Linked DNA regions of Rattus norvegicus. The protein of the gene in region 1 purifies or fractionates together with the protein of each later gene. This does not show direct contact. Links are inferred from orthologs where the notes say so. Each region holds a gene or a part of one and is shown on either strand. Other genes may lie near its edges.

The links.
Region 2: the proteins of Map4k5 (region 1) and Crkl purify together in Homo sapiens (affinity purification with western blotting; 3 studies listed by BioGRID and IntAct, with this or other methods). This does not show direct contact. The link is inferred for Rattus norvegicus from reciprocal best matches to the Homo sapiens genes MAP4K5 and CRKL.

Annotation. Positions count from the first base shown.
Region 1 is NC_086024.1:94,110,078-94,114,388, forward strand, and holds the start of Map4k5 (mitogen-activated protein kinase kinase kinase kinase 5), read right to left. Parts: upstream 2,867-4,311; 5' UTR 2,623-2,866; coding exon 2,515-2,622; intron 1-2,514. UniProt on the Homo sapiens protein: May play a role in the response to environmental stress. Appears to act upstream of the JUN N-terminal pathway.
Region 2 is NC_086029.1:97,064,625-97,069,017, reverse strand, and holds the start of Crkl (crk-like protein), read left to right. Parts: upstream 1-1,560; 5' UTR 1,561-2,042; coding exon 2,043-2,353; intron 2,354-4,393. UniProt on the Homo sapiens protein: May mediate the transduction of intracellular signals.

The DNA.
Region 1 (4,311 bases):
AGACACGGAAAAAAAATAAATAAAGCACTGTGCTAGACTGCAGTAAGTACAATGATGGTCAGGTACGTCTAAGGGGAAGGAAGCAAGACACTGTCTGGGAAGAGATACTGAACAGAGGAAGTAGCAAGAACAAAGACTGCAAAGTGGGAAGATGCTTACTGTTAAGGAAAGCCTGCCGGCCAGCGTGGTTAGAGCAGAAGGGAGAGGGAGAGTGGTGGGTGAAGTTAGAGGTCTGGGTGAGGGGCTGGGGCTTCTGACAACTGAGTATTGCTTTCCTAGGCAGCAATGGTGGCCACAGGTGGAGAACAGGGAGGGAGGAGATCCCAGGTAATTAGAACACACCACACAGAAGAAAGGCTGTGGGACACAGAGGCTGGCTTAGCCCACAAGGAGTCCACATAATAAAGTGAGCTTGATTGTGAAAGGTAGGAGGTGAGGGTGGGCTGGGAAGCATTTAGCCTCTGACTTGTCTGTTGTGTTGTAGAAGTGTGAGCAGCAGGACGGGGAAGCACAGGTAAGAAGTGGGCAGTCGGGGCTGGGGATTTAGCTCAGTGGTAGAGCGCTTACCTAGGAAGCGCAAGGCCCTGGGTTCAGTCCCCAGCTCCGGGGGAAAAAAAAAAAAAAAGAAGCGGGCAGTCAGCTGTCCTTTTAACGTAAACATTGCTTTCCTAGGGAAGGATTCCTACTTCCAGGGAGCTGCTCTGGTTGTTACTCTGTGAAGAAAACCGTGGAGGTCTTGGCAACATCCTTGTGGGGGAAATATTCCCTTTAAATTTTCCTTAGTAGGGGGAAAAGGGGTAGGGTGGAACAAGAACTAGAATTTAGAGTATTGTATAATTACCATGAACGGAACTGAACTGGTCTAACTTACAGTGAATCATAAGACAAAGATGATTTAAAATGGGACCAAGAAGGCAAACAGGAGTTTCTTTTTTTAAAGAGCAAGCATTTCCTAAAATGGGTGATGAGCAAATAAACAAGTTTGTGCTAACGACCACTAATTTTATATTAGGAAGGGGATTCCCTTATAACTGAGTACTTTGCATCAAAGGCACTCAAGGCCAGAGTAAGGACCTTGCTCACTGTTGCACAGCTCTGTTTCTAGAACAGTGTCTGGTTGGGCCCAAGTGCCTGATCTTATGAGGTAAAAAGCCTACCCAGAGCCCTCCCCTCAGAATCAAACACCCCAAGGGACTACTACTAGCAAAAACTCACTCAAAAACAAGCAGAGAAAAGAGATGTTTTTCCTTGCATAGCACCTGTGCAAATCAACATACTTCAGTGGAATCAAGCGATTACTCATGAGACACTTAGGGCTCGATGCAGACTGCTGTTTGGAACGTACTGATACATAGGTCAAAATATCAAGCTGCTGCAAGAGGGAAATACGCTTTTTTCTTAATACCCATAAGGAACTGCACTAACTCTGCCCCTTTGGAACAAAGAACAAAAGCCACAAGGGAATATTGAACAGTGTCTTCCTCTGAACCCTTCAAAAACTTAGCCGATTTAAGAAATTGGTTTGCTTTGCTATGGCATTTTTTTAAATTGTTGTTTTTTTTGTTGTTGTTGTTGTGTAATGGCAGATTACATATTTATTATTTGTCTTAATATAAGAGACCAGTAAAAAGGATAGCAGCAATTATCCACTCATGATTATGGAATACTATAAATCCCAAAGAAAGGAATTTACTGGAGTCGGAAAACCCCATTAAGTCATACTCATTATTATCTTTTTTTTTTTTTTTCTTCGGAGCTGGGGACCGAACCCAGGGCCTTGCGTTTGCTAGGCAAGCGCTCTACCACTGAGCTAAATTCCCAACCCCTATACTCATTATTATCAACCAGATACAAATGCTTAAACTTCTGCCAGGTGAAAAACATCTTTCTTTGAATTTGTTTAAACTTAATTACACTTTGTTTATTTACTGGGGTTTTTTTTTTTGGGGGGAGGGGGGTGGAGGTCAGGCGACAACTTGCTTCCACCACCGGGAGAATCCGGGGACCGTTCTAGGGACCTAAGGCTTGGCTCTAAGGGCCTTTATATCCAGAGCCAGCTCACCGGGTCCTCAAAGACATCTTCCTACAGGCCGTCATGTTTACACACAAATCCTTTTACTCCAGAACCAGATTACTTAGAGTTACAATTTAGAGCTCGGTTCCACAGAGATTTTTAAAGTCAAGTTCACCCATAACAATAATTTAGAGTGCAAATGCCTAGATTTACAATATTCTTTCCTATCTACAGCCTTCCGCGGAGCATTTTTTTTTTTCTCCACGTTAACACCAGAACATCCTTCAGAGTAACTTCAATACCATAAGTACGCCTTAAAACCACAAAAAAGCTCAGCGGTGGTTTGGAAGGTGCGGTTAAGTCTGCCGGTCGGTAGCGTTAGAATCGATGGGGAACCCAGGGTGCTCGGAACGCAGCCGCGGGGTCCGGGCCACTTCCTGGCCGGACTCTGTGGTCCGGCGCATCCCGGGGACGCCCCAAGCTTGCAGGCCGGGCCTCACCTTGTACACGTCCCCGTAGGTGCCGCTGCCGACCCTCTGCACCAGTTCGTAGTCGTGCTGCGGGTTCCGTCTCAGGATGTCGGCGGCAGGCCTCAGAGGGGCCTCCATCTTCGCTGCGCCCAGCCCGGGGCTCTGCCTGTGGCACCCGTATCCCGCTAACGAGGGTGCGCGGCGCTTCCCAACATGGAGCCTCAGCCCGCAGCTGCGCCTGCACCGGCGAGAGCGAGCGCGGGGGCGTCACGGGGCGCGACCCCGGCAGCCTCCGGGCCTCCTTGGCCCCGCCAGGCCCCGCGCGGGCCGTACCGAAGAGGCTGTTCCTTCCTTGTTGAGCGCCGGGTCGGAGACCCGCGTCTTCTCCGAGACGGCCGTGCGCACAGTCGCTGCTGCCGCCGCACCACGTTCCCCACCCGCGGCTGCGTCACCGGGAGACACGTTCGCGGCCGGCGCGGATCGAGCCCGGCCCGCCCGAGAGCGCAGGCCGCGGGCCCAGAGTGCCGCCCTGAGGCCCGCCGAGTGCACGACACCCTCGCCGCCGCCGGCCCCGCCTCCTAGCTGCTTGCGGGGCGCCCAAGGCATTCGTGCGGCGTCTGACCCGCCCAGGCACGGCCAGGATTCGTCCAGTTGCCGGCAGGACTAGAGGAGGAGGGCCTGTGCGCAGGCCTCGGAAGCGGTGCCTCCTACTTCCATTCAGTCAAGGTAAACTGAGTCCGTCCGGGCAGGAGGTGGGGGAGTGCCGGGTTAACTAAACGCCGGCACACCCGACTGCACCGTCCTGTTCCACACACTGTTCCCGGTGGTACCAGTTCTGAGGCTGGACCGGGGTTTCCCGAGACATTTTTGAAAACCCCAATTCCTACGAAGTTCCTGTGGTTTCTGGGCATCGCCACAATATTGCATCTTTAATGGGACTAGGAGTTCTGGAGATGCTAAAGCCAAGCTAGGGACCTTTGCCTGAGTCTGGTTCCAAAGTAGGTGATCTGGGACAAAGCGTCCTTGGCAACATCTGAGTGTCCTTATCAGTCCCTGGAAGAGGGTAGGTTTTGCATTTGACACCCGAGATGTTTGTAAACCATTTTATAGCATTGTAAAGAGGATTATAAACTGTAAGATGCCTAACCATGCCCAGAATATTGGGCAGGAGTTGTGAGAAGTGATTTGGTTAATGTTTTGGTCTGTTTTGTGATTTGAGTCCCAATCTTGTTCTTAACGTAGAAATGAAGTCACCAATTTTATGTATATAGGTAAAGTTATTTCTAGAGTCCTGCAGAGATTTTCAGTAGAAAAACTAGATAAGGACTGGAAAGATGGCTCAGTGGTTAACAACACTGGCTGTTCCTCAGAGGACCTGGGTTGATTGCCAACACCTGCATGGCAGCTCACTTCTGTTAACTCTAAGCAGGGGTCCAGAGTGGGCTGGAGGAGGTCTAGCACTCTCTTCTAGCCTGTGTAGGCACCAGGTATGCATATGGTGTACAGACATACATGCAGCCAAAACACAAAGTTAAATAAAAATTTAGGAGAAATTGAAAAAATAGATAAAATTACAACAGAACAAATTTCAGGTGACACGTGACTCCAGACACAATCTAATTCTGTTTTGAGAAATATACTTCTTATAGCTAATAACTAAAGAATCCAAGTAACACCTTAACAGAATAGAGAATATATGCATTTTCTTGTGTTCCACACACAAAGAGCACTTATTTAGGGAACATAAGTAAGCCCAGACTTACATGCTCCAGGGACAAAGCCTGTGTGTGTGCTGCATTGAAAAAAAAAGGTTGAAGAACAGTTCCT
Region 2 (4,393 bases), on another chromosome or scaffold:
ATTTCAGAGGACACCTCAAGTTGAATGTCCTCCATCTTCAGACCTAGGGATCTAATTCAGGTGCTTAGGCTTGGCCGGCAAGAGACATCTTCCTGGCCTCCATGAAGCATCTCTGGGAAAAGCAAAACCACGGTTTTGCTGAGGTACAAAAAGACACTAGACTTTGACATTTTTCCTTTGCTTACTTACCACTGTGATGGAACCACCGATGATTACCCTACAGCTAGGGTTTGCTAAGCATGGGAAATGCTAACAGCCAGAATGAGACTTTAGTGACAGGGACCTAAGTAGCAATTCTCCTGTCTGCCTCAGCCCTGAGACCTCCTTCTCCCCTAACTTCCTCCCCATTTTAGTTGGGTCTCATATAGCTCAGCTGGCCTTGAACTCATGGTCCTCCTACTGCCATCTCCCCAGTGTTGGGATTACTGGTAGTGCCACCATCACTGGTCTGGGACATGCCTTCCTGTTCATCTAATTTGGGAATGCTGTGACCAATAATCCAGCATCAGTTTTTTGTAGATTTTTCACAATGGTCATTCGTTTAACAATTTTCTGATCATTCAAGACTAGATGTGGTTTTAAGGCGGGCAAAATAAGACAGTATTCCTGTTGTAATAAAATTTCATCCTGTCCTGTTAGTGGTGGCTCACATCTTTAATTCAAGCACAGGGAAGGCAGAGCCCAGTAGATGTGAATTTGAAGCCAGCCTGGTTTATAGTTAGTTCCTGGATAGCCAGGGGCACACAGAGAATTCCTATCTTGATTGGTTGATAGATAAATAAATAAATAAATAAATAAAGAAAGAAAGAAAGAAAGAAAGAAAGAAAGAAAGATAGATAGATAGAGAGATCGGTCCTAGTGTTGTTGGAGAGAGAAAACATGTTGGGAAGGCACAGCTGGAACGGCTGAATGGCAGGAAATGAACTTTTGGAGAGAGACCAAAGGTCTGGAGCAGGCAAAACCTGCAAGCCAGATACAAGTGTTGCATTTCTCTTGCTACATCTCAGAGCCTGAAGTGGCCAAGTCACCATCATCACACTGTCCTCGTCTTAAAGCATTAGTCAAACTGACCTTCACCATCATTCCACGTGTACCAAGTAGGATCACTTAGGGTAGGCGTTATTCAGTAACCTATTTGATGGTCAACTCACTGCCTAGGTCATGCCCTTCCTAAGCCACCTGACTTATCAGGGCCTTCAGGCTTAAAAATCACCTGAGGGCCACGCCTCCCTGTCCAGACATCCAGCCATCACGCTATGCTTTGTTCCCAGAAACAGGTTTTCAAAACGCTGTTCCCTCTCGGGTCCAGTTGTTTTCCTGCTAAGCCCGGTAGGCCTTACAGCAGCAGCCACTCAGAGGCTGCTTTGCGATCCAGGAAGGGCTTGACCCTCTGCCTCCTCCCGGAACGCGGGAGCCCGCACGAGTGGCTTAGGCTGGAACCCTCGCGAACGCACTCCTGATTGGCCGCGCCCAGTGACGTCAAAGGAAGAGCCCCTGCGGTGGGGGTAGCGCCCAGCTCCGCGCAAGCGCAGATAGAGTACGCTGGACCAAGGGGGAGGTGCCCGGTCGCTTCTCCCGCGTCCGCCATTTTGTTGCTGTGGCTATTGGGAACGGGTAGGGTAGGACGGTCCGGGAGGCGCGACTGTTGTTGGAGTGCGGTGCTTCGTGTGACGGCGAGGAACCGTGCGGGCTCTTGAGGCTGCGGAGCCGGCGGCTTCCAGGACAGAAGTCGCTGGATCCTACTCCGGACAGCTGAGAAGCCCGAGGCGGCCTCTGCTACTGCTCTGTTTCGCCCACCTCGACCCAGGGGTTTTGCCCACTGTTCCCGGACCGGCTCTCTCCGAGAGGCGGCCCTGTGCAGGAGGGCGGTGGCGGAGGATGCTGCGGGGCCCGGAGCCTAGAGGAACGTCCTGACCAAGCCCTCTGATTGTTCCTCGAAGTGTTCGAGAAGAGGCCCTTCCTCGACCCCAAAGCCGACAGCGGGTAAAGGCTTCCAGAGCAAGCGAGAGCAGCAGACGCCGCCCATCCCCGGGCCCAACACCATGTCCTCCGCCAGGTTTGATTCTTCAGACCGTTCTGCCTGGTACATGGGGCCAGTGTCTCGCCAGGAGGCGCAGACCCGTCTCCAGGGCCAGCGCCATGGCATGTTCCTAGTCCGGGACTCATCTACCTGCCCTGGGGACTATGTACTGTCCGTGTCCGAGAACTCGCGTGTCTCGCACTACATCATCAACTCCCTGCCCAACCGCCGCTTTAAGATCGGGGACCAGGAGTTTGACCATTTGCCGGCCTTGCTGGAGTTCTACAAGATCCACTACCTGGATACTACCACCTTAATCGAACCAGCGCCCAGGTAGGCGAGCTCCTGCCCTTTTCGGGCTCGGAACCTGACCTGCGGAGGGTCGGTCAAAGATTGAAATTTGGGGGTGGGGGTAAGGGATACTCCCTTTTCTCATTCTGAACCAGAAGACATTCGGATTGGAAGGCCAATGTCAGGATCTGGGTTGGATGAAAGGATGCATTTTATTTAGACATTTAGTAGTGCTTGCATTGTTTAAATCACCACCACCCCCAAGCCCACACATACATAGTTTTGTCACTTTAGTTGACTGTAATACTAGTGCAAAATTCTTATTAACGACGTTAAAATATATAGACTATCTTGAGTTTCTGAAGATAGCCATGACTACTACTTTCTCGAAATTCATGTACACCATTTAAGGTTTTTGTAGCTCCTGCATCTGTCAGCTAACTGGCCTTCAGCCTTTGGAATAATCCTTAAAATAGATCGAAAGGGTAGAAATCTCAGAATCTGATGCTGTAGCACTTAAAAAAACAAAAAACCAAAAAACTGGAATTACCAAGGAAAGAGATTGAGGTTTTATTTGAGGGAATTTGTATCATCACTGTTCCTTCCGCAGGGTGCAAAGTGTATTTACCTTCATTCTACATTAATTCTGTTTTTTTGGGGTTTTTTTGTAATTAAGTCTAGTTGTTTAACATATACTTTAAAGACACCCAAGTAGCGCTAGACGGGAGAGATACACGCCCCTAATCCTCTAAGGAAAGAGGACCTTGATTCCAAGCCAAACTGAGCTGTAGCAAGACCCTGCCTTAAAGAAAAAGACACTGATCCCCAAGTGTTCTCTTTTTCAATTAAAATGCATTATTTTATAATTTGCTTTAATTTTCCTAATAATATCATCAAATGATACAAGTGTTAATTGAAAACATATCTAGACACTTTAAAAGATATTTTACTGCCCCGTTTATTTCTAAGCTATTCTAAGAAAGAATTGAGGACTGATTTAGATTTAAGGTGAGGTGACTTCATAGAGGTGAAATTTGCTCAGGACTTTGAAATTGAAAAGATAGTATAATTAATTAAAGGCACCTACTTAAATCCAGAGTTTCTTCTTGAGGATAGAAGAATAAGCTGGGATGGTACAGTGAATGTATGTACGGTTAACGGCCAAACTCTGGATTTTAGAGTGTGGAGAAGGGCTAAGTGGTGATGAGGAGGGAAAGTGTGGTCCCCAGACCCACGCAAGCGTGGAAGGAGAGAGCTGAGTCACAGAGCTGTCCCTTAGCCCGGTATGCGCATCATGGCAAGCGAGTATCCTCACACAAGTACGTTTTAAAAATGTGAACACAGAAAGGTGATTGTAAAGAGTAATGCTAGCAAGAGGAGGACACTCAAGTTCTGTGAAACATGAAGTTCCTAGGCGATGCTGGAAGGTGTAAGAGCTTGGAGAAACCTAGGAAGGATAATGTTGGGTGATACAGCTAAGTAAATTACTCTCTTATTTGTGGAAGTGGATTATATTATTGACTTCGGGCCTTTATTAAAACATGCTTGCAGCATGTGACAGGTATTGGAGAAAGTCTAAGTTATTAGAGTCACCTCAAAGAGGGGAATGAATACTGCAGTGGCTTCCTGCTATTTACAGATCTTACTCTACTTCATGTGTCTCTCAGGTACCAAATGTAATTTCCTGAGTTTTTCCTTAGCTCTACTTGACATGCATTCCTATCTTTTCTGTCTTGCTTAATTTCCAAATGAAAGAAATAACCAAGTCATAATTATTCCAAATTTGATATAACTGTCCCTTGTATAGCTGCAAATTGTACATTTTAAATTTTAGAACAGATGGCAGTGTACCTTGAGGGATACTCTTTTAGTATCTCAACTTAAATGTAATAATTACTGATATTCTCCTTTTTTTTTTTTTTTTTTGGTTCTTTTTTTCGGAGCTGGGGACCGAACCCAGGGCCTTGTGCTTCCTAGGCAAGCGCTCTACCACTGAGCTAAATCCCCAACCCCCTGATATTCTCCTAATTGATCTTATGTTGTATGGTAAAGAAATTGAGGGGAAACTGTGACTATCTATAC